4 linked regions of the Drosophila melanogaster genome follow. Changing the gene in region 4 together with the main gene of any one other region gives a genetic interaction. Each region holds a gene or a part of one and is shown on either strand. Other genes may lie near its edges.

Region 1 (6,339 bases), on a different chromosome or scaffold from region 4:
GTTGGGCGGTATCGAAAAATCTAATACCTTGTACTAGCATGCATATAAAAATAAATTGTTTGCACAATTATTGACTCCATGTATATATATACACAAGAGAAAGCGCTGTTTTGGGAATCATTTGTTGTTACAGAAGCATTTAAAATATTTGTCCCGAAGTTACCTCTACTAGGGTATGTCATAGTCGTGGCTACCAATTTGGCCAAGATGAGCCGAGCGTATGCCAATACTTTTACGTGTACCTGGTGCTCTCCATTCCTTCTGATGATCAACGGCTGATAGTCGGTACCCAAACATATCTATATTTTATTGCACGCAATTTCCTTTCAGCTCAATTCGTTTGCCAAATCATTTCCCCAGTTCTAGGCAAAGATTTTGAGTGCTCCTCCAGCCGCTCCTGAAGATAATCAGCGTTCGTAGAGGAGCCTGAGCTACCAAAACGAGCTACCTGATTGCCCCTGGAGTGAGAGTGCGGAATGGAATGATAGCTAAGTGCCAAGTGGATCTCGCTCTGTGTGGGTATTAGCTTGGGTAATCGGAGATGGGGCGCAGCCCTCTTAGGAGGAGGGGAACTATGGCAAAATGGAACAGCAGAAAGGTTGATAGAAGCTGCCGATCGGAGATAATGAGGGCCTGAAGGATACAACGCCATATAACGCAGATAGGTATAAGATCTGATTAGATGCAAGGGTTTCAAAGAAGCCTCCTATGTAAGGTGCCTAATGGTAAATGTATTTGTAATAAGAAAAAGGTGTTACTAATGTCGAATGTAAAAGTAGTAAAAACTGCTGACAAGGCAACTTATACCGCATCGCATTGAAAACATTCCGACATTTTCATCTTGGTTTCCTACCGCAAAGTGGAAGAAGGCAGTGGTTTGCAAATCAAATCGTATATAAAATCATCCATCAATGGACAGCTAACACTATCGGTTTGAACTTCCTGTGTGCCAGTGGCTTTATCTAGCTGCATCCACCACCCTAGCCACCTTTATTACGGCTAACCACTGGCCACTTGGATATGGGCCGCCAATTGATTCCATTGCTAATGACTGCTAACGGTTCCACAGACACTTGCCGCAGCTTCGATTGCGGCTGAGGAAAGGAAGCCAGCGGTTACCGCTGCAACGCCCAAGTCGCCGGGAGCCTCTGCCATCCACAGATCTCGACGCACTTCACCTGCGGCACAGTGAGAACGATCGGGAAGGATCACTGATTGCTCAAATTATTATTGATCGGTTGTAAGAAATATTTGATGATCATATAAAAGAATAAGAATTACTTTGAACTACTAGCTAATTAAAAAAAAAATTAATTAAACTAGTTGGATTCCCAATTACTCAACAAAATACACAAAATAGGAAGTAGGATTAGCCAACGCTGCGTATGAGTAATAAAAATAGTTCTGATTCTTCAGTGAGATTCCCCTGGGACAAACATTTACATTCCCTATCTAACTTCACCTGTTCTATCAAATCCCTTTTAAGATCCTCCTTCTCGAGGCCCCACTGTCGCTGGGCAGCAGCACGTTTGCGTGTGGCTTCCGCGGCCGCCCGTCCAAGATTGATTGGGCACTCGTTTATTGTCAGTGGAGCTGGGCTTATCGCATCAGTGCAATTTGTTTGCGCCGCTGCTGCTGGCGGTGGTGCAGATTCCCCTCAACGAGAGGTGCTGGCGCAACAAGTGGGTTTGTGGCCGGACACCTGCGACCGCCCCTTTTGCCTCACAGAGAGCAAAGGGGTAAGGATGAAGGACGGTGTAGGGTGTCCTCCACTGCCAATGGACTCGCACGCAACGAGGCTTAATGACCCCGCAAGCCTTAATTAAGGCCCAAACTAAAACACTTTGATTGATTTACGCTTGCCAACTAACTGCCCGAGGACAGGGACAGTGATATGGGGATGGCCACAATTAAGAGAGCGGTGGGGATGGAAAACGAATCCGGCTTCTTGCATAATTACCCCGTAAGACTCAATTAACTGTAAATTAAAGAAAATGCTCGCTTACATTATGGCTGCACTTAATGTCGCGTGTGATAATGGTGCAGATCTTCTCTGGCACTCAGTGCGACTTTGCGAATCTACTCAAATTGGGTAGCCGAAGCGGAAGATACTTCAACCAACATGTGAACCCTTGTTGATATTTTTGACACTTGTATATATATTTGATATATACCTTTATTTACTCACATAATATCATTGATGAAAAGAAAATTTTTGGTTTTCTGATTTTGTGAAAACACTTCAAAATGTTTGAAGATGGCCCAACGTGTTGGAGATGGTTTTTGCATTTTAAAATTGCACTGCCAGCCGATTGGTAATTATACCCGTAGAAAGGGTACATTTTAAGATCATCGCAGAGTAAGAGCATTTTTTGTTGCTTTTGATGCTTTTGTTTTTTTGCTGCCACAGCGGCAATGCCACTGCCCACCCCCCGCGCTCTCACACATGGAATTAGAGCGGGTAAAAATGTACGAGGAGATAAAAGAGAGGCGAATTAAGTAACAAGGCACTTAACGTTAACACTTAACAAGGCAATGTCGTGGCTGTCTTGGCTGAGGCCTGAAACCTGCGCCATGCACCGTGCACGGGGAAGTTGGCCATAAAAGTTGGAGCTGGAACTTTGGCCGGGACGGGAAGCCGGAGGAACGAAATGCCATTAAGTGTCATTGCTCATTCCGGCGAAAGATTGATATCGGGCTTTAAATATGCGTACCGCGAAAGTATGGGATGGGATCGGATAGGATAGGATAGAATGGTACATCAACACTGTCACGGGGTCGCCAGAAATGTGAGTGACGATGGTGGTGACTGCAGATACCCGAAGTGCATGGCCAAACTTCCCATAAAAGCAGCAGGCGAAAGACATTCCGAACGGAAGCAACTGCCCTGTAATTACGTATTTTTCGAGGAATGAATTATATGCCTACAATTCACATACAGCATTCTCAGGGATAATCACTCTTTTATTTCAGCAAACATAAACCTTAAGTATGAACTCTTTTATAAGTGAAACTAAGCACCTATCATGACGAAATTGGTTCCTCTTTTTTGTATGCCAAAATGTTATAATAGAACTTTTGTAGCCTCAAAAGAATAGATTTGCATATATGTATGAAACACCTAACCGAAAACTATGATTGATTGCAGCTTTGCAAACTGAAGAACCGCAGAGCTGGCATCCAAATACATACCAAAAATCTGATCGCCAGGTGGGGCCGCCAAAGTTGGCCCAGAGTGAACTCCAAGCTGAGGCTGAGAGTGGCAGCCAAAGGCAGTTTGCGGTTAAAGCGGCTTATCACATTAGCACACTTCCAGACATCCAGACATCCAGACATCCAGACTTGCGGACTTACAGGCCTTTGAGCGAAGACAGAAAGACCCGAACGTGGCTAAAAGAGCCGCTGGAGAACCGTTAGCGATCGCGACATTCGCATCCTGCTTGGGATCCTTCGCACACACGCACACGTAGAACTGAACTGACTCAGATATATCTTCGTACTGGGTGGAGATGCTGCCGAGATATACGAGTACGAGTTCGAGTACCGGCCGGCTGCACTTAACTCTTCGCCTGGACGAGATCTTAACAAAACTAACTCGATCGCCATTGATCGGACGCATTTCAACTTAAAGTCAAGTGGAGAAGGCGCTGACGTCGAAGTCGACGGCGGCGTCCGCGTCGGCAGCGAACTGCATTCCCAAACCGAGTCGCGTTTTACTCACCAAATAAATAAGACAGAAACAGAAACAGAATGATACAAACACAAAAAACAATAAAAAAAAAAAAACTAAGCCAAACCGAACTGTGTGCAGAATTTATGGCTTGGGCTGTGGCCGTCCGGAGAAATGCTCTACAAGGCGGGCAGTCAATAGATCTTGGGTCTTCCCAATGAATCAATAGCTTTCCCGGAGCCACAAAATGAATATCGCTTGCGTAAGACAAAAGAAACTGGAGAAACCCGTCTGAATTCAAGATCAATCTAAAAGGTCCCAAAGAAAGTGGCGCTTGAGTGGGGGGACCAGACCACCCTATTCAAGAAGTGATGGAAAACTTAAGATCGCATACGGAAGATCTCGGGTAACAGTTGCTATTGTCTGCATTTGGAGGAAGAATTTAGAGATCTCATAGAAATCTTAGAATGCTTCTTTAATTATTTTAGAGATAATAATGCAAAAGTATTTAAAATTTTCAGCAATTTATTATGTCCTTTTTTTCTACTTTATAAAGTAGTAACTTATACAGGAAGCTCAATTGGCCCCGCAAATGATTCAAACAGCAGATTAAGGCCTCCTTCGCAATAATTCACAAAGGAAAACCTGAATGAATTCCATCCACGTCATAACTCCAATACTTTGTGTTGATCCTCCGTTGACATTATTTATGGAAGCTCTTAGAAAACCGAGGAGCCCAAAATACCTCCATGTAGCGCACAACAAAGTGTGGAAGAAAAGCAACGTTCTGCGGTGCTGCTCATTTTGTGTGGTTGCATGGCTGTGTTGCAGATGGAGCAGGTGGAGCAGTGGCAGGGGCAGGGGCATGGGCAAGAGCAACGGGGCAGCAGCACAATCGAGTTTCCACCAATGTGAATTAAATAGTTGGCCGAAAGAGAGGCGACAGAGAGCTCAAATTCCGCTAAAAACGCAGCAAATCCCAGACGATGGCCACAAAGTAATGGAAATATTGAGAATTCCTTAGCCGCCACTTCGACGGGGTCTCCATCTCGGTTAGAGTCTGGGTCTGAGTCTTGGATGTGGCATAGCCGTAACTCAAACCGACCATTAGAAACGAACATTAGCAGAAGACGTCTAAGAGCTGCAAATGCTGCAAAGGAAAAAGAACTAACGAACCTTGACAATTAAGTTTGCGCCACTCTGCCAAACCCAATTGGAATTCAATGTGCATGCAATGGCAGAGGCAGAAGCAGAAGCAGAAGCAGCAGATGCAGCCAGCAGGGATACCGAGATGGAGGAGGATGCGACTCAGACGGAGCAGGAGGTGCATCTGACGTTGATGATGCTCCCCGGCCTCCTCATCGAACCGAAGCCGAAGTCGACAGTCGCACAAAAACCCATACTCCATACCCCCAAACTCCAAGCTAAAAACGCCAAACTCCCGACTGGAGTCGCTTCGCTGTCTGTCGCTTGCTAATTCCCCAACAAATGTTTGCTGTTGCTTTGCTGTTGGCGGCTTCTGCAACATGTGTTGCAACAAATCGGCAAGCGACTGCAGCTGGAAAGTCGCGTGATGATGCGCCAAGTGGAGAGGAAAAATCTCGTTAAAGGTCGTGTCACAAATTCTGCAGCACTCAGAGGCGAAAAGGGGACAACGCCAAGTGCCAAAAAGCAGAAACAACAACAACATCAGTAGCTAGTTGCAACAAAGGCTGCAGCAGCAGCAGCAACGGCAATAGCAGATGCAAACTCGTGCCGCTGCTAACACAATAAATTTTCTCTTTCAGCCCGGGCGAATCTGGCGTTGAACTGCGTACATGGGTGGCCAAGTGATGCTCCTCCTCAGGCTCCACTTGCTGCCTCTCTTGGACGACAGTAAATGGCTACAGAAACAATCTGAATAAATTTGTCGCTAACTCTGGAGTTAGTGGTCCACGGGAGCGGGTGGAAAATTTATGAACCCGTTGATAGGCTGATGGAGATCTTTCCGGGAAATATTTTGATGGGACGTTGTGTTGGCCGTGGTCGGATTAACCTATTGAGTAATTTATAGCAGTGGGTGTGGATTAAAGATTTCGCAATGTATTTGTAGTTAATTTATTTGAATTTCAGTTTCTTATCTCTAATTTGCAAATCGTTTATTTAATCTCTATGGTTTTCTTAATATATACATACCTCACCATATGCGGACTACCATACGCTGTTAAGTTCATTGAATTAACCTTTTTCCTGTCATTACGCCTTTAAAATAATAAGCAGGCCTTATCTATGGGCTAGCTAATAATACCAGGACGGAACCTAACACAGTCTTGGCTTTTAATAGCCCACCATTTAATGTAAGCCATTTCGTTTGATTTCAGCTTTGAATCAACCCCACCCATCAATATTATCCTTAATACAGTGCAAATTCCGCCTTAAGTACTTGCCATTAAGCATCATTGCAGTAACTTTGTCTTGGCCATAACTCGGCACCGAGTACCCCCATCGGGGTCTTTAATCTCCCGCGGTCCGGCTGCCGTCAACCGGGCCCCATCCTCCAGACTTTCCACGTCCGCAGCTTCATGCGTGACCCCGATTCTCACAAGACTGGAAATGTGTCGGATTGGGAGGTGGGGATCTGTTTGGATCGGGATTGGGTTAGGGATATGGATGGGCTGCGATAAGCGATC
Region 2 (6,349 bases), on a different chromosome or scaffold from region 4:
AACTTGTTTTCTAAATGGTTAAAATTATAAAGCTGCAATTTTTCTTAGCTAGCAAATACTAATCGGTTGAACTTATATTATGGTACACACTTTTACCGGAAACCATTACATCTTTAAATATTGCATGGGAAGTATTGGTGGAACCAATGATATATACTTACATCCTGGCAGGATACCCTTGCTGCGAGCCGTACGATATGGTTGCCTAGCACCCGGATCGATCTTTCCGTACATTGTTCTATCCATGGTGTCGAACGAGATTCACTTGCTTTTCGCACTGATTTGATTGAAACGTTAATGATTAATCGAGAATATGTTAAGTGACATTTTATGTTCCCCAAACAGGTCTGCAGGTTTGGCTGACGATGTTGCACTGCGCCACCGGCAAAATGTTTTATTTGAATTATTTATAAGCGCATTTTTATTTTTGGCCTTTCGGGGCTCTCGACGACGGATTTGTCGTTTTTGTTTGCGTTGGGTTAGCCTGTCAGAGAGTGGATATTGTAGTTGTCGTCGTCGAAGTTGTCGTTGTCTTCGCCCGTCTATCAGAGCTTTGCCCCAGTCCACAAAAAAAAGAAGAAACAAAAAATTGAAAGAAACTAGTTCCCTGCCCCCGTGGAAGTCCAAGTGATTTAATGTTGGAAATTGTTGTCTGGAGAGTGCTTTGTGCATTCGAATTTCCTCTATTAATTGACTGAGACTGACAAAATACCGCATTAAAAGATTAAAGGGATGTGGTGAGGTGAGAGATCTATGATCTAAGCTGCATATATGATGAAGAGCTCTCAAAAAGACGAGAAATAAATCTACTGGTAATGTAAACATTGTCTGTCAGTTCATCAGTTCATCATGCTTCAAACCTAAGAAATAAATTACCTAAATCAATACTCGAAACAAAGATATTTAGTTAAGTCAATGAAAGTCCACTGTCAAACAAGTCAAATGATCTTCATCTGAAGTGATTACTCTACTTAAGATGCACCTTAATCTTCCGTATCTAAAGATCAAAAAGATAGAGAAGTCAAAAATGGTTCTTTATAGCGTAATCACTGAAGATGCAAATCAATCTAACCGTATCTAAAGATCCATAAAAACACCAACAAGAGCGATAAATCAGACCAAAAAGTCCGGACCAGTTACTCTGACTTCCTAATCCCAATGTGCGTGGGTGAATCTCAATAGATGATCTATGCAACTAACTCAATTTACGATGGCCTGTAGATTTAGTTGAGCCAACAAACGGTCTATAAAGACAGATTTATGGAAGCATAAAAATACCAAAATGAACATGCAGGCCACATTTTAGATTTTCGTTCCAAACAAATAACGACACATTGGAAAAAGGTAAAAAATAATAAACATAAATTCACCGACCGAACACAAAGCGAGCCGGGCCAAAAATACGAGTATCGAGAAGGGAACGGGGAATCAAGGTTGCCAAATTACGTCAACACCAATGATCGCCAACTAAAAATATCCAAAAGAAAAATAAAAAAACAAAAAAAAAAAACATTTCTAGCAAATCAAAGGCGACGTTTCGTCGTCTAACAAAGGGAGGCTAAACTGGGAAAATCGAGCGAAATTAATTGAAAATACGAGAGATTTCCGCAGATCGTTGCCAAAAGGAAGGGCAATAAGAAAATAAAAATCTCACTTTCCTTCCAGGTCTTGGCTATAGTCAAGTCCAAATCCATTTACCTCCACACCTGAGGCATTACTCAGTCCATTTGGGAATGACGTCGGGCCGAAATTGTTGTTCTCGATTCGGTCTTCCTTCTACGAAGTCAAATTCAAAAGTCAAAGGCACAATTTCGTGTTTATTTTGCAGGAAATTCCTAGCGATCTCAATATAAATATTTTATTAGTAAGTAGATAAAATGTGTGTGAATGCGAGTGTTGACCTTGCCGAAGGCGCTAAGGTGAAAACGCAATGCGTGGCCAAACGGAAAAGTGGGTATCAGCCCAGGGAAATTCATTTGTGTGGGTGATACCGATCTCTCTTCACCGCTCAGTGGCCTTTAGCCGGGCCTTTCAATAAACTTGGCCAATTTATGCCGCTGTAAACTGTGCGTGCTTTTCACATTCCACTTCTGTAATAGGTTCGGGAAAAAGCGACGAGCTATCGCCCACTGACTTTTGGGGCCTTTGGGGTCTTGATAAGATATATAGACCCTATATTGGCCAATGGCCTACGTACTGAGCAGATAAAAGGCTTTTCTGGAATTAAATATCAATGTCTTTTGATTGGCTCAATGGAAGCTTAATTGGTTATATTTGTCGATTGCAAACAATTCAATAGTATTGCACTTATTTATTTCAAAATATTTGTGAGCAATGAATCTAACCCAATGTTTTAATTGCACATCAACTCGCTGCTAACAATTAACGATTTCGAAATCTATCGAAGCCACTCATCTTTCGCTAGCAATCGAAACAACACACTCTAATTGAATTTGTATGGCTGGGCGATAAGAATCTTGTTTCCAGTTGAAAGAACAGAAACAAGGAACAACAACAACAAAACACAGAGCAACTCGCTGAGCAAACGAAAATCGAACTCAAACCTGGCGATGAACTCACTGCACTATGAATTACGATGATGGAGAATCCAGAGGTGCTAAGTAGTTGGGGCTTAAAACGAGCTTTTAAACCCAAATAATCCAGAGATCCAGAGTGATCTGTAGATACTTAGTTAGAGGTTTCAAAACGCACAGACAATCGGAGAGACAAAGACAGCAGCTGTCTGGTCGTAAACAAATGGCATCCACTGAACGTATCTGCGAGATACAAAATATTGGGGAGAAAACGAAAGCGATTCTCGTAAGTGCAGAACCCCCCAACAACAAAATATTCATTTGTGCGCACTATGTCAGCCGAGTTTACATCATTCTCCAGCATTTCCATCTGCTGTCGTAACTCGAGATACTTTTACGAGGGGAAGGGGAAGGAAGTCCCCCCCCCCCCCATCGCACTACCACCACCACTCGTGAGAATGCACTTGGCTTCGATTGCTTGAAATATGTGAAAAATGTCATAATTTTAATAGATTAAGTGGGCACAATTTAATTGCTTTTGCTGCCTGTTGTTATGTTTGTTTGGCTATTTCGGTCATTTCCCTCCAGAAAAACACAGAAATACCGAATTAATTTCCATCTCAACACACCCACGATCTTAATCCGTTCGGGGCCCCGAGGCGAAAATTAATGGGGCTAACCAAAATTCTATGCTCTGCCAGATCTGGGCAAATATGTCATATATTCGAATGTCTTGTCCGTTGATAATTAGTTCCATAATTAGTGGAAATGCTAATGAAATTGAAATGTTTTGCGAGCAACGCGCCGAAAAGATTTGCCAAGAGTTAGTGGAATCTTAAGGCGAGTGACACGGATCCATAAATCTTGGCCAGTTTATTATATTATATTATTTTTTTTAGCTAACTGCTTCTGGCATTCCTGCTTTATCGTTTATCTTAGTGCTAGATATCTTTTGATGTTTGTCAACTTTTTTTTTTACTGCAAACTGTTCTTGCACTCGAAGTAAACAATTTCCCACGCTCCAACCTGCCACTAACACGATTCCACTGATTTTCATCAACTTTTTCCCGCCGTAGTTTGCCGTTAAACACTTTTTCGTTGCCTTTTGTTTTGATTAGGCTTGGTTTCTTATATGTATATTCTATCGCGTTATCTGTGCACTTTTGCCTGCACCTTTGGCAGTGTGTTGTCACATATTCTATATATTAATCCCAGAGATCGTAGGACGCCGTTGGGAGACCGCAATCGAGAGACTCCGAAAAACACACGCGCTGCGCTCGCGATTCAGTAAAAGCGTCGCAATCGACTGAAATCCAAAGGGGGGCCCGATGCTGAGGCTCCAATAGACGAGCGCTCCGGCTCTCTCGCAGCTGCTCACGGAGAGCGGGGGAGCAAGAGAGCGAAGCGTTTGAGAGCTGGTAAACAAACTGCACTGCGAAAAAATCTTCTTAGATTTATAGATGTATGGATGTATGGATAGGCATAGTATATTCAAAACGATAGCTTAGCTTCGTAATAGGGGCTATATCTAAAGTAATATATATCTAAAGGAATGTTTAAAAAGTATGTATCAGCGGTTACAGCTTGTGAAACCAGTATTATGATTATTGTTGTTTCTGAGTAAACAACTAATAAACTAGTAAACAAGTAGTAAACTAATTTTGAAAAATCGAATTTAAAAAAAATGTATTTTAAATCAGAGTCCATATTGTCGTATTTTATTTTCAGTGCCAAGAGAGCCAGTTAAAAGAGAGAAAGAGCCCCACCACGTAGCTTTTCACTTGGAGTGGCTTTTCATTTTGGCTTGCGGCCTGCGGCTGAGCATTTCGACCGCAAGTGGGAGGCACAGCGAAAGGAAACCAGAGCGGACGAAAATATTGTCGCCCGATTGGAGCTTTCCTTTGGGTGTGTGAACAGTGGGCCAGCTGCCAAGAAAACCAACCCCTTCGTTGCTGACGAATAAACGAAAACGTGAGTCAAAGGCATCCAATATCAAAACATTTCTGAAACTATCTTCAATTGTACAGACAATCCGCAAGATTAAATGTTTCATAAAATGACAGTGAAAATTGGTATAAACAAAATTCCTCTGGGACAGTCATGTTGGAAATGCTTATCACTTAACAGCTGCTTAGGCTTTACAATTGTTTATCGACAAACATAGAAGATAACTAATTATATACTTTCATGACCATGAACACTGTGATATACATTGATACGATCACAGAAAAGGCAGAAATGGGATCTCAAAAACTCTTTAACCTTTCGTCCCACTGTGCGAACCTTTCCCCGTAACCATAAGCGATCATTGCTCTGCAGTTGGAGTGCTCCCCTCGGCGGAAAACGCCATCGACGCTCAATGCCCAGACAGACCTAACCGATCTCGACAGATCATCTCGTCTTTGCTGTTACAGTGCGCACACGCAACACGAACAGAAGACATTGCGTGTCGAGTGGGCGATGAAGTGGGCGCGCACTCACTAATGGCAGCAAAGCAAGATTGATGCAACTGAGTTGCTGGAGAAGATCAAGATGAAGTTGGAGATGAAGCTGAAGCCTCTACTTCCTGTGCGAAGTAAAGCTTCGAGGGCAGAATATTTATGCTGAGATTTTAAGATCTCGAACGAATTTCAGTATTATAGTTATTATTATATTATTGTAATCTAAAAAGTGATCTGAAATATTATTTGTTATTTAACATGATTTTGCAAAAGCTCTATATGAAAGTTTCTTAAGATCTAGAATCCTACAAGCCCAGCCGATAAGCAAATTTTAGCGGGCTCTTAGACCACTGTGCGTAGGTGTAGGGCAAGTCAGCTGGAATTCTTCATAAGTGTTAGTGGCCTGGCCTTTAGTCATTTCTTAAGAATTTCTGGACACACAACTCTCGGCTGCAGATTTCGTTTTGCTTCACTTTTATATTTTTATCAAAAGACATTCCGAAACAGCGAAGAATTGTGTCATAAAGAAAATAAAGTGAGACGACATGTAGACTTTTATTTCGCTGATGGAGACTAAAAGAGCACTGTGGGGCAGCGAAGAAAGCAAATACAGCCCGGCTGATTAAGCTGCCTCTCTCAGACCAGATCATTCACATGAGTACAAGGGTTTCGAACTTGGGGCTGCAAGAAACCACACCCTCCTTGCTTTCTAGAATTGTAAATGATTTCACACTGGAAGTGCTGAGCGCGATGCTTTTATGTTCGATTCAAGGAATTAGGATTATTCATAAAAGTGCAAGGAATGCGCGAATCGGACCACAGCTATCGCAATAGCCACTTCCCGAATTAAAAGCTCATTCATTTACTTGTGCACTTTGCACATATGTATGTATGTACATAAGTATGTATGTATGTACATATGTATGTATGGACCCATGTACATATGAACGGGTTCAAAGATAAGACGAGCACTTGAAATTCATCATCAAGAATTTTAAAGCACGTAACACAACCATTTTTAATCGTGATTAATGATTGTATGCTTACGATAAGAATTTCGAAAAACAGTAAATATTGAGTTTCAAGAAATATTCAATAATAAATATTTTTGTATATTGGGAAATATATTAAACAAATAACACATCTTGTTCGGTCAATGACTGAAGATCACTCAAAACTTTTTTACATAATAACAATTTCTTAAAACAGAAGTGAATAACAGATTAATAACTAAAAAGATACACAGAACACACGTTGCCATTCAACACGTGAGGTACGTTTTAGCCACTCTTCACTGTAAACGAAAATTATTCAAGCGTGAGATTTTCGACTTCCTGTGTCGCCACCTGGCGGCCAACGGCAGAATCCTCAGCT
Region 3 (5,798 bases), on a different chromosome or scaffold from region 4:
CAAAAATATCCTTATAAAGGGGTTTCCAAATAACACCCATCTTTATTTGCAGCTTGAAGTTGTCCATGCTGAAATGGGTTCCTGATTACGATAGTGCTGCGGATGAGTATTCCAAAGCTGGTGAGTTTCACAAAGTAGGAGTGACTAATATCACCCAGAGTATCTATCTATAAAAACATTGTGACATCAATGAGATATGTAAATACTATGAATTACAGCTAACGATTATCCCAAAGTATCCATAACTTGCAAGATACACACATATTGGTGTACAATTATGTATCTTTCTTTTACATTTTTAATTGCAGCCACTGCATATCGAATAGCTAAAAGTTATGATAAGAGCAAGGAGTGTTTTCTGAAGGCAATCGACGCCTATAAAAACAACAAGTCTTGGTTCCATGCTGCAAAGGCATACGAACAGGTGAGCTTAAATTGAAGTTAATATAAGTGAAGTTAATAGGAAATTTAAACCCTCTAAATGTGCACATCTTCTAGATCATTTTGCTGTCAAAGGATGCCGATAAGCTACACGAAGTTGAGGAATACGCCAACAAATCGGCGAGTTTGTATCAACAGCACGGTTCCCCAGAGGCAGCCGCATCCGCCTTGGATAAAGCCGCCAAGTTAACTGAATCCAAGCATCCTGACATGGCTTTGCGCTTCTATCAGCATGCTCTAGAAGTCATAATGGTTCGTCCTATTTGACACTGCTCTAGTCAATTCCATTCTTAAACTATTAATTTTATACTTACCCGACAGATCGAGGATTCCGTCCGTCAAGCAGCCGAGTATGCATCAAAAGTTTCCAGGATACTGGTCAAACTAAGGAGGTATGTACCTATGATTGCAACGAATCACTTTGGGTATCCTTAGCTTATATCATCCAATCACTCCAGGTACGACGAAGCCACGAATGCGCTCAAAAAGGAGATCAGCTTGAATCAGCAAACGGAATCTTACGGACAAATTGGACGCCTAGTTGTGGCCTTGGTGATGGTCCAACTGGCTCGCGGGGATTCCGTGGAAGCCGAAAAGACCTTCAGGGAGTGGGGAAACTGCTGCGAGCCAGAGGAAGTGTCCACACTGCAGACCCTTCTGCAAGCCTTCGATGACGAGGATCCCGAGTTAGCTGCTAGGATGCTGGCATCCCCATTCATACGACATATGGATGTTGAGTACGCTATTCTATCTAAAAACATTCCACTACCTCAGGGTATACAGATGGAGAAGAAGGCTGGCGACACTGCTGCTGTGAGTATTTTTATTCTAAAAATGGAATTTGCAATTTTTGTTTTGTAAATTTGGCTCTTATTATGATGTTATCGATAGGCGATTGAATCTGCCTTTGTTGTCGATAGAAGACTTGGGACAGTGCGAAGCAGTAAACTAAATAGCTAACAAGAATTTCGTATTTTCTCTCTTTCTCTCTCGCAGGAAACCAACGACGCCGAGGACGAAGGTGGCTTGTGCTAAATTTCTTAATGTTCGGTCTGCTTGTTAGTCAAAATATATTTATCGTTAATAATATCGCTTTTAACATATTATATTAACTGTTAAATACAAATTTCATCGCAATCGTTGTACTAATTAATAAATACTAAGATCAATACTATACAACAAAGAATATCATTAGCTTTGGGATGAATTGATATTGAAGTAATAAATTGTAGCTATAAGTGTAAACTATGTATATATATTCTATGTTCCAAAACAGCGAATGTGTTAAGATTCAAATCTGTAAATCTTCAGCTTTATTACACGAAAGTATAGTGCAATTTGTTAATATAAATAAATAAATTAACTCAAACTATACTATGTATTTTAAAGCACCCTAAAATATTTGACATTTTGAAAGATCGAAAGTGTGCCATTTCACCGTTCCAAACGCTTCACAAACGTCGCGACGCGTCACGACGCATGTTGATACTTTGCCGGCGCCTGGCAACCCTAACCTGTGCGAAATAACCGACCAAATTGATTCGTCCGGTTGTTCGTGAAAGAAGGCGGAAGGTTAAACAGTATTTGTAAAATATATACTCGGCGAAGCAGCAATTTGAGAATTGTGAAAGCGAAAAACTACAGGAAAAATGGTACGTACACTTGGGACTCGCATTCAGACTCGGTGGTAAAAGCGGCCGGTCATTGTGCACTTTTGGAAGCGAGGTGGAGTGCAAATAATGTCTTCGATTCGATGAATCATATAAGCATCTCTCCTTTGAAATCTGTATATACATACATATTTAGATAAGTGTGTATATATCAATCATACATATATTTCCACTTTTTTTTGCCTATATGTTCGTTGGCCATATTCGGGCATATACATGGTCATGAATGTGTGCGTATACATATATACCAAATTAGTCATTGGTAGCAGCGGATATTACTCATTTATTGGAGTGTTTCATACTTCTCAGCCGCCACTCACACTCATAACTGGCAAATTCGCGAAAGGCAATCGCGAAAGAATGCTCCAAAGTGGCAGCTGGAAAAATGGAGCGATTAAAAATTGAAATGTTGGAAAGAGAAATGCACACACATTGGATTTTCATGTCTATACATATATATATTTTTACACACTTGAGCGTGTGTGGGTATACCGCTTTTTTTATATTTCGATGGCTATAAATATGTGCGTATGTATGTATCTGCGGGGCAATGCTTAATGCTTATTTTCTCGCAGACGCAAAATGTGTGTACATATGTACGTCCATATTACCATACAGAAATATGTATCAATATATATCCATATATGTATCTGCAGGCATACATATTTAAGGTGTGATCGTTTCCTTGCCGCCTTGCGGATGTTCATACATACATACACATGATGTTTAGCTGTGTGTGTGCAGCAGACGACTGTTTGCATGTGGGACGATTTTGATTTTCTCGACATTTTCCGAATATTATGGAAAATCGGGCATTTTCCACCGTTTTGTGAGCGCAACGAAATCGTGGGGAAACAGCCACCTCCCTTTTAGTTTTCTTTCTCCCTCTTGTCGGCTTGTTCTCACCCTTAAACTTGCCGGCACTTGTGAACTTACCCTTGAACTTTCCGAGCGCCGGGAAAAAAAGAAAGGAAAATCTAACTGTAAATGGTGCCACGCCCACCACTCCCAGATAAATCGGCGTGCCAAGTGTGCGCACGCCTTAACCGGTAAAAGTTCTGCGGTGGCAATGCAAATAAAGTAGCATAAATTATTTACCTTTATGTTTGTTATTGCCGGCAATCAAAGAAATAAAATTGCAAAGTCGAAAAGGGACGGATATACTGTCAGCTGAAGGTGGGCAGTTATGTCTGCCAGTCAGTTACATACGCACATATGTACATCAGTGAGGTACAGGGTGCCTCGTGTCTTATGTGGGCATAAAACATTGAACTTCACTTATTTTTTTTTACAATTCAACTACTTGGTACTTCATGAACATTTGTTTTAAGGGAATACTTGGGGAAACGCAAAGAGAGCACCCTGTATCACATACATGCACACACACTTGGTTGACAGTTTGGCGCGCATTGAACATTCAAAATACATTCTCTGATTTGCATCTCTACCTTCTCTCTCTCTAAAGGCTTCTGGTGTAACTGTGTCTGATGTCTGCAAGACTACATACGAGGAAATAAAGAAGGACAAAAAGCATCGCTATGTCATCTTTTACATTCGCGATGAAAAGCAGATTGATGTGGAGACTGTGGCAGATCGCAACGCCGAGTACGACCAGTTTCTAGAAGATATCCAGAAATGCGGACCTGGAGAGTGCCGGTAAGTTCCGCCGGTTAGAGACACCCAGACCCATCGAAACTAACCTAATTTAACATCTATTCGCTTGCACAGGTACGGACTGTTCGATTTCGAGTACATGCACCAGTGTCAAGGCACCTCTGAGAGTTCAAAGAAGCAAAAGCTGTTCCTTATGTCGTGGTGTCCCGATACTGCCAAGGTATGTGAATAGCCAGTTGCCAAGTAATGGCGCAGAACTCATTTCGATATCACACACCCACAGGTCAAGAAGAAGATGTTGTACTCCAGCTCCTTCGATGCTCTCAAGAAGTCGCTCGTGGGCGTCCAAAAGTATATACAAGCCACTGATCTTTCCGAAGCCTCCCGGGAAGCCGTCGAGGAGAAACTCCGGGCCACCGACCGCCAATAAACTGTACGAGCACTGTGCATTGCATTTAACAAACAAGGCATGCATGAAACAGCGATGGAAACACGTATCCTGTTGAGATCGCCAATTTGTATGAGAATTTTCTACATAATTTGTATTTTCAGTAGAAATAAAGAATGAAATATTTAACTTGACCAAGTCGCGTTTCCGCTGTGGTAAAAATCTCGTACCGCAGAATACACTTTATTATAAGGAGCAAAGATTACATTGTACATATGATGACGGTTCTAACTTATAGACCGAACGCTTAATAGCCATGCTGGATCACTAGAGTCTGGAGAACCTTTCTAATCTGGTGGCCAGTGTTCAGGCACGACTTCAAGCCCAGCGAGAAGGCCACCGTTAGGATGTCGATTGCGTGTTCCTGCAGCAGCACCGACATCTCCGGCAGATTGTCAATGGCCGTCGCTGCCACCGAGGAGTTCTCGTCCCGCAGGCACTGAATGTAGGCGTTAAGGGTGCACAGGTTGATGTCCGAATTGCCGGGATTGTGCTTCAGATGCCTGATCAGTATGATGAAGGCGATGGACCGGATCTGGGCACTCGGCGAGAATATAAGGTTGAGCAGTCGTTCGAACAGCTCGTTGATGAACACAAATCTCTTGGAAGTGAGGCACTCCAGCTCCTGCATGGGACCCAAGACCACGTCCTCCGTGTTGGACTGCTTTATGATCTTGACCAGATCGAGGAAGTGCGGCGATATGTCCGTGTAGTTCGACCGGCTGTACGAGCCCAAGGTTAGAACCGATAAGGGACCCCTACTGCTGCTTGGATCGATGGGTGTTTGCGGATTCACTTCGATGGGATCCTCTGTTACCACGGGCTTGCTGGCCGATGGCTTTACATCGAAATGCTCATCCAGATCGTACTCGTACTTAACTTCCTCGTCGTCCAATTCCGTCGCCGAGTGCGACTTGTGCTGCAGCAGGGCAACGGCCTGGACCAAAACCTGCAGTTTGCCTAGTGAGGTGTACTTGGCTGCAAGTTCCTTCAGGATGCCCACGTACTGTTCGATGAAGAGCAGAGCACTTGAGGGATTGTAGTTGATGTAGGCTTGGAGCATCTGCACAAACTTGTTCAGCATTTGGCAGGCCTCTTTTACGTTGCTGTGGTGCTTGAAGAAGTTGAAGTAGCACGACAGCGTGTTTTGGATCTCGTTCTTGTACGCCTCCTCAAAGATGGTTGGTTGCAGCAGCTCCAGCGTCCTCAGGATCTGTACAAATCGGTGGAAGTGGTGCTCCTCGCGCAGGGCCTTCATGCTGAGCTGGGCCCGACCTTGCATAATGGACGACAGCACGCCCAGCTGGCGAAGGAAGAGAAGCGGGTGGGAGGCAGCCAGCTTGCGAAGGAGCAGCTCGGTGTCCGTGGACAGGGTTTCAAAGTCCTTTTTGCCCACCAGACTGCCCAAGCAGGTGATCAGATTGTTGGACACCTTGTCCGCCTGGCAGCCCTTCAGATTCTGCAATTTGTACGCCTGCTCGCCGGTTTTGCCCGGTTTCAGAAACTTGATGCGCGGATACATGATGTACATCTGCTGGAGGACCTGCAGTTTCAAGTAGTCGGACACCGAACTTTTCTCCACGTGCTCCATTACCTTGACCATGAGGTCTCGTCGCTTCTCTGTG
Region 4 (6,241 bases):
ACGAACAGGTGTAGCATTTGTCAAAATATTTAGCTAATTTCATTTGCAGGCCGCCCTGATAGTGGCTTATATCAACATACGCATCCCAAATCTTCTCGGTGACCTGGTAAACACACTGGCCAGATATGCCAACACGTACGTGATGGATCCGATTAACAACTCGTTCGTAAAGGACGTGAGCAAACCGGCCAGCAATCTGCTGAGCCTATACATGCTGCAATCTGGTTTCACCTTTATGTACATCTACCTGTTGAGCCGCGTCGGTGAGCAGATGGCAGCCAAGATGCGGCAGGATCTGTTCACGCAGATTGTCGTCCAGGACATCGCATTCTTCGATGAGAATCGAACGGGCGAGCTGGTCAATCGACTAACCGCCGATGTACAGGACTTCAAGACCTCGTTCAAGCAGTTCGTCTCCCAGGGACTGCGAAGTGCTGCCCAGCTGATTGGCGGCAGTATATCGCTCTTCATGATTTCACCGCACATGGCCGCCATTGCGCTGGCCAGCGTTCCGTGCGTGGTTATGTTCATGACGTATTTGGGCAAGAAACTGCGCTCTCTAAGCAAAAGCTCACAGGCGCAGGCGGAACGAGCGACGGGTGTCTGCGAGGAGGCGCTGTCCAACATCCGAACGGTTAGATCCAGTGCCTGTGAATACCGCGAGATGCAGCTGTTCGAGGCGGAGACCAATGAGGCGGCTCGCCTGGCGCAGAAACTCGGCTACGGCATCGCAATCTTCCAGGGCCTGACCAACTTCTTCCTCAATACACTAGTCCTATCTACGCTCTTTATGGGCGGCCACCTCATGTCTACGGAGAGTCTGTCGCCGGGTGCTCTGATGGCCTTCCTGGTCGCTTCGCAGGGTGTGCAGCGATCCCTTGCCCAGGGATCCATCCTGCTGGGCACCATGATCAGAGGCATGTCGGCCGGCAGTCGAGTCTTCGAGTTCCTATCGCTGCAGCCACAGGTGGAATTGCTGCGCGGCTACATCATCCCGCAGGAGCGGCTGCACGGCGAGATTCGATTCGAGAACGTCTCATTCGCATATCCCATGCAACCCGATCATGTGAGTTGTATTAAAGTATATCTTCATTTCATTCTCGAGACAATGATGGCATATTTACATTAATCGATGCTCTGTAATTTGTAAACTCGCCACTTTTTTATATAATATTGAATAACTTCTTATCGCTTCCGCAAGTAGATAACCATTTTATAATACCCACAAACATTTATGGCCAATATTTACGGCTAAGTGATAAAAAGATTAGAGTCTAGGCAATGCAAACAGTAATGAACTTCCTATGTCAATTTTTGCTTCATTCACAGCTGGTGCTCAAGGACTTTAGCCTGACGCTCCGCCCGGGCCAGACGGTGGCCCTGGTGGGAGCCAGTGGATCGGGCAAGTCGACGATAGCGTCGCTGGTGGAACGCTTCTACGAACCATCGGCGGGCAATATCAAACTGGACGGCTACAAGCTGTCGGACATATCGCCCTATTGGCTGCGGTCCAATGTCCTCGGTTTCATCGAACAGCAGCCGGTGCTGTTTGGCACATCGATATTGGAGAACATCCGATATGGTAAACCAGATGCGGGCGAGGAGGATGTGTATGCGGCAGCGCGTCTATCACAATCGCACGACTTTGTGACCGCCCTGCCCGATGGATATGCGACGCATGTGGGCGAACGGGGCACCCAGTTGAGCGGCGGTCAGCGGCAACGCATCGCCATTGCACGGGCGCTGCTCAAGAATCCGCGCATCCTCATCCTCGACGAGGCGACGAGTGCCTTGGACGCCACCAGCGAGGCGGAAGTGCAGAAGGCACTCGATACAGTGGTCCAGAATCGCACCACTCTGGTGATTGCCCATCGCTTGTCCACGATACGAAACGCTGACCTCATTGTCGTCCTTGATCAGGGACGCGTCGTGGAGGTGAGTTGTCCTAGACCATTGGTATCTTCAGAAATATTTATATTTTCCCTTGTTTTAGACCGGCAAACATGACGAACTGATGGGCAAGCGGGGCCTGTACTTTGAGCTGGTGCGTCAGCAGGAACGACGGGACATCCAGGAGCAAGTCCAGGCGGTGGAGGACGTTGTGGCCGTCAAGGAGCAGCAGGCAACTGCAACAGAAACTTCAACAGCCGCAACAATTGCAACTGCCGCAGAAACTTCCGCAGCAACAGTGACAGTGGGGAGCAGCAGCTTCGGTGGCAGGGCAAACGCAGCGCAAGGATAGTGACGATGTTAGGCAAATTGAATGATTCCCTATACACTTAATTTAATATTCTTATAATGTTTTCACTTTTTTTTTTGTTTTCAACTGACCAAAAACAAAAATGGTGAGAGACGCTAACAATAAGTATACAATAAAATAAACGCTGAAGACAGTATTGTTTTTGTTATAAACAGAAAGTATTTCATTGTCATTATCGCTAAATTCACCGGGTTCATTAAAAATAGATGGGATGCGTGAACTTAAATTAAAGTTTGAAAAACTGAATATAAAACACTTGAAATCCCAATTTCCGTTAAATAATATATTCAATGGGACCGCATTATTTCTACAACCATACTCATATACGGTCACTCGAAGATTAAAGAAAAACTATTTCAATATTCAATTCTGTTCAATATTTCTTGTTAGTGACAAGCAGCGTGTTTATAATAAAAAATTTGTTCATTAAAGAGTTTATATATTTTTTAAGTTGATTGGCAGCTAGACGATAGTTTTGAGATTCTTTAATGACAGTCCTACGGTCACACTGGCTGAATTGTATTTTATTTTGTGTAGTTTTGTTGTTGTTTTGTTTATTATGCATTTCTTTTTTATTGTTTGAGTTAGCGAGCTGTGCGTCGCGTCGGCATTTAAACAAAATCCGCGGCATTTCGGTAGTTGCGATTAATAATTGCTTGGCGGGAATTACAGTCGAATAAGAAATTGGCGAGGAAAAACCAACAAATGTGCAATGTGCGTCAAGTCAATAGCAATACAAACGAACAATTATGTAAGTGTGTGTGTGTGTTTGGTTTAGTTTAGTGTACAAGTCCAGCAAAAAACAATAAAATCTAAGTAAAAAACCAGTTGTTGTTGCTATTGGCTTTGCTAATGTCGTGTTGTTCCCGTTCCCCCACACACATTTTCTAACAGCGCGTGCATGTGTGTGTGTGTGTGTGTGTGTGCAGCACCTGTACGCGTGTGTGTGTGTGCTTCTGCCTCCGCACAGTGGACACATTCCTGAATTTTGGAGTCCAAAAATATGCAAATTGCCTGAGTGAATTAATTGACTTAATTAACAAAAATTGGACCGCAAGTTATGATAACCATAGTTGATTAAACGGAATTAGTTTCTAGCGGGACTAGTGCGACAAATACTCAAACTTACTTGATTTTTTACCATTCGTTCCATTCGTAAACCTAGCTTGTCTTGGCTATTTTATAGACTTCAGTCAGGGTGGCACACCCACTCATTTCCAATCTCTTCAAAGCAAAATCACAGCACTGTGATATGGTTGGTTAAAGTAAAAGTTCAATGGGTTAAGCAGGTGATTAAAGGCACATTAACCCCTAATGGAGCTTGGACTGCACTTAACGCACGGCTCACATGTGACCACTGTGCGCGCGTGCAAGTGTGTGCGTGTGCATTCGTCATTCATTGGTCATGTTTATGCGGTCGGAAGAGGGACGTGCACAACAACTACAGTTAGCTCAGCTGAAGTGCAATTGCGATTGCAGTTGATCCAAAGAGTCGCGTTTGTTGTTGCATCAACCGGAGTTTTCACGGTCAATGTTGAGCTATATCCATAAATACACAAACATTCATGTGTATTTGCATATACATATGTATGTCCATATGCATATATCCATGGATTATGCATGCAAATCGATGATGGAAATCAGGCGGTATAGCGAATTCCGATGGGGGGCAGCTGACTCAGGATCGAAGTCTTTATCACTGAACCCTAAACTAATGACTACCGGACTCAATTATTTTGTTTTGTTCGGTCATTTTGTTTAGTACGCAAAAATATTTACATGGCTATCGCTTTAGCAATAAAGTTCGAATTGCTGTCCCAGTATATCATAAAAAATCACGGAGAGTTTTGAATGCAATTGGTTTTGAAAAATGCCAAACCTTCCTATCATTAACACTTAAATCAGTTAGAAAAACTAATATAATACTATATTAGTTGATAATAAATGCATTTCATGTATGATATCATTGTAGATATCTTTTTTCTCAACGTTAATGATAATGGGTAAAGATAGCTTATTTATAGACCTACATTGCCTATATGATATTTGCTTAGTTTCCACTGGTTCATATCGACCTGTTGACGATAATTGGCCAAGTTCCGTGACTGCTGGTCTATATTTACTATATTTAATACCTATTCCGTCATCGACTAATACCTTTTTTTTAACCTCCCGCCCCCCTGCTCTTTACCCACAGTGCTAACGTGATCGGGCCAAGGCACAAAAACATTCCATGCATCATCAGCAGCGCCTGCGGGCAAATGGCGGACGAGGAGGCACTGGATTGGGCGCAGGATCAGGACCTGTGTCCGGAGGACACTCACCATTGTGCGCCCATTGTCGGGGTCAACTACTGCCACATCCAGAGGAGCCAATCGTGATGGCTCTCGGCCAGCAATGGCACTGCGATTGCTTTCGCTGCTCCGTTTGCGAGGGCCATCTGCATAACTGGTACTTCGAACGGGAGGGCTTACTGTACTGTCGTGAGGATTACTACGGCCGATTCGGCGATGCCTGTCAGCAGTGTATGGCCGTTATCACCGGACCCGTAATGGTCGCCGGCGAGCACAAATTCCATCCGGAGTGCTTCTGCTGCACGGCATGCGGCTCCTTCATCGGCGAGGGCGAATCGTACGCCCTTGTCGAGCGTTCGAAGCTCTATTGTGGCCAGTGCTATGGCAAACGTTCCTGCCAGCCGGCGGATGCGAAGGCGCGGATCACAACGGCCGGCAAGCCGATGCACTCCATCCGTCTGGTCGAGATACCCAAGGACGCCACGCCCGGCCTGAGGGTCGACGGAGTGGCCCTCGACGATGGTTGTCCCACGGTCCGCATTACAGAGTAAGAAATTAACTGAAATTACTATAATTTACATCAATGAACTCATTGAGATGCATGCATTTGCATTATTTATTAACTTTATTGTTACATTTGTTTCTTGTTGTTTTTTTTAAGATCTTTTTCAAAGATCAGATTGTACTCTTTTTTGAACTTCTAAGTTGCCTTTGCGTTTAATGTACATATGTTATACAAACCAAGCCGTCTTCTCACTTTTTACACACAAGTCACAACATTTTTTTTATATGAATTTAAAGAAGAATGTCTTTTTGGTTACATTTTGTACTGAAAAAAATTTTACCATGGCTCAAATCTACGAAGTACGTATTGTGAAATGATAACTATTATTTGATTGTATATAATTTATTGCTTCAATCTGACTCACTTTTGGTTGCCATTTGTTAAAGTTTGCACATTAGCTAACTAGGTCTAGTCCTAATTGCCAACTAATTTCGCTGGGCGTTCGTCCTTCGACTCTTTCTGCATTTCCCTAATACATGCTTGCCCAAAAAAAAAAAATAGCTTGTTCTGTAACTTCTTCTTGTGGCTAACCTCGATGGCGGAACAGTGCTGTGGGGCGCCTTATAGGTAACAAATGTGCCTGAGTTGAATTAAAAGCAACAACTAAGCTAGTAGTAACACTTTGCTAATTATTGATTTATTTCCTATTATCCAGAATTGATGTGAATCTTACAAATCTGCATATTGGAGATAGGATATTGGAGGTGAACGGCACACCAGTTAGTGATTCGTCCGTGGAACAGATCGACAAATTGATACGGAGTAATGAGAAGATGCTTCAGCTGACCGTGGAGCATGATCCGGTGCAAGTGTGCCGCTCCTGCAGCCAAGCGGACATCCAGCGGGCCATGTCAGCGTCCACGTTAATCCTGCCGCTCAGCACATCGGCCTCCAGTGTCGAGGTGGGCAGGGAGCGTCTGTACAAGACACCCGGCGAACAGGGCACGAAGGCCAGGAAACTGCGACAAGCCACCAATGCCTCTACGACAATACCACCGGCAGCTGGAGCCACCGCAATGACGCAACTAAAGGAGAAGGAGCGTTGTTCCAGTCTGTCCAAGTTGCTGGATGAACAGCATCAGGCACAACAGCATTCGGCGCATCCTCAGCTCTATGATCTGT

What was found.
Region 1: of LIMK1 (region 4) and Sb, changing one enhances a phenotype caused by changing the other (phenotypic enhancement), as found in Drosophila melanogaster (one study listed by BioGRID).
Region 2: of LIMK1 (region 4) and Pax, changing one suppresses a phenotype caused by changing the other (phenotypic suppression), as found in Drosophila melanogaster (one study listed by BioGRID).
Region 3: of LIMK1 (region 4) and tsr, changing one suppresses a phenotype caused by changing the other (phenotypic suppression), as found in Drosophila melanogaster (2 studies listed by BioGRID).

Annotation. Positions count from the first base shown.
Region 1 is NT_033777.3:16,113,413-16,119,751, reverse strand, and holds the start of Sb (stubble), read right to left. Parts: upstream 3,592-6,339; 5' UTR 3,193-3,591; intron 1-3,192. UniProt on the Drosophila melanogaster protein: Hormone dependent protease required for epithelial morphogenesis, including the formation of bristles, legs, and wings.
Region 2 is NT_033779.5:19,419,708-19,426,056, forward strand, and holds the start of Pax (paxillin), read right to left. Parts: upstream 3,846-6,349; 5' UTR 3,708-3,845; exon of another isoform or gene 3,572-3,707; intron 485-3,571; 5' UTR 247-484; coding exon 162-246; intron 61-161; exon of another isoform or gene 1-60.
Region 3 is NT_033778.4:24,042,961-24,048,758, reverse strand, and holds tsr (twinstar), read left to right. Parts: upstream 1-1,953; 5' UTR 1,954-2,090; coding exon 2,091-2,093; intron 2,094-3,576; coding exon 3,577-3,767; intron 3,768-3,839; coding exon 3,840-3,945; intron 3,946-4,008; coding exon 4,009-4,155; 3' UTR 4,156-4,306; downstream 4,307-5,798. Other genes in the region: gammaSnap1 (gamma soluble NSF attachment protein 1), read left to right, coding at 53-120, 309-424, 499-693, 763-833, 900-1,254, 1,438-1,476; IntS1 (integrator 1), read right to left, coding at 4,421-5,798. UniProt on the Drosophila melanogaster protein: Exhibits F-actin depolymerizing activity and regulates actin cytoskeleton dynamics. Required for cytokinesis in both mitotic and meiotic cells and for aster migration and separation. Promotes cell motility during ovary development and oogenesis.
Region 4 is NC_004354.4:12,588,701-12,594,941, reverse strand, and holds the start of LIMK1 (LIM domain kinase 1), read left to right. Parts: upstream 1-2,748; 5' UTR 2,749-3,011; intron 3,012-4,457; 5' UTR 4,458-4,493; coding exon 4,494-5,101; intron 5,102-5,258; exon of another isoform or gene 5,259-5,359; coding exon of another isoform or gene 5,360-5,418; intron 5,419-5,593; exon of another isoform or gene 5,594-5,620; coding exon 5,621-5,686; intron 5,687-5,774; coding exon 5,775-6,241. Other genes in the region: CG1824 (uncharacterized protein), read left to right, coding at 50-1,066, 1,330-1,935, 1,994-2,242. UniProt on the Drosophila melanogaster protein: Protein kinase which regulates actin filament dynamics. Phosphorylates and inactivates the actin binding/depolymerizing factor tsr/cofilin, thereby stabilizing the actin cytoskeleton.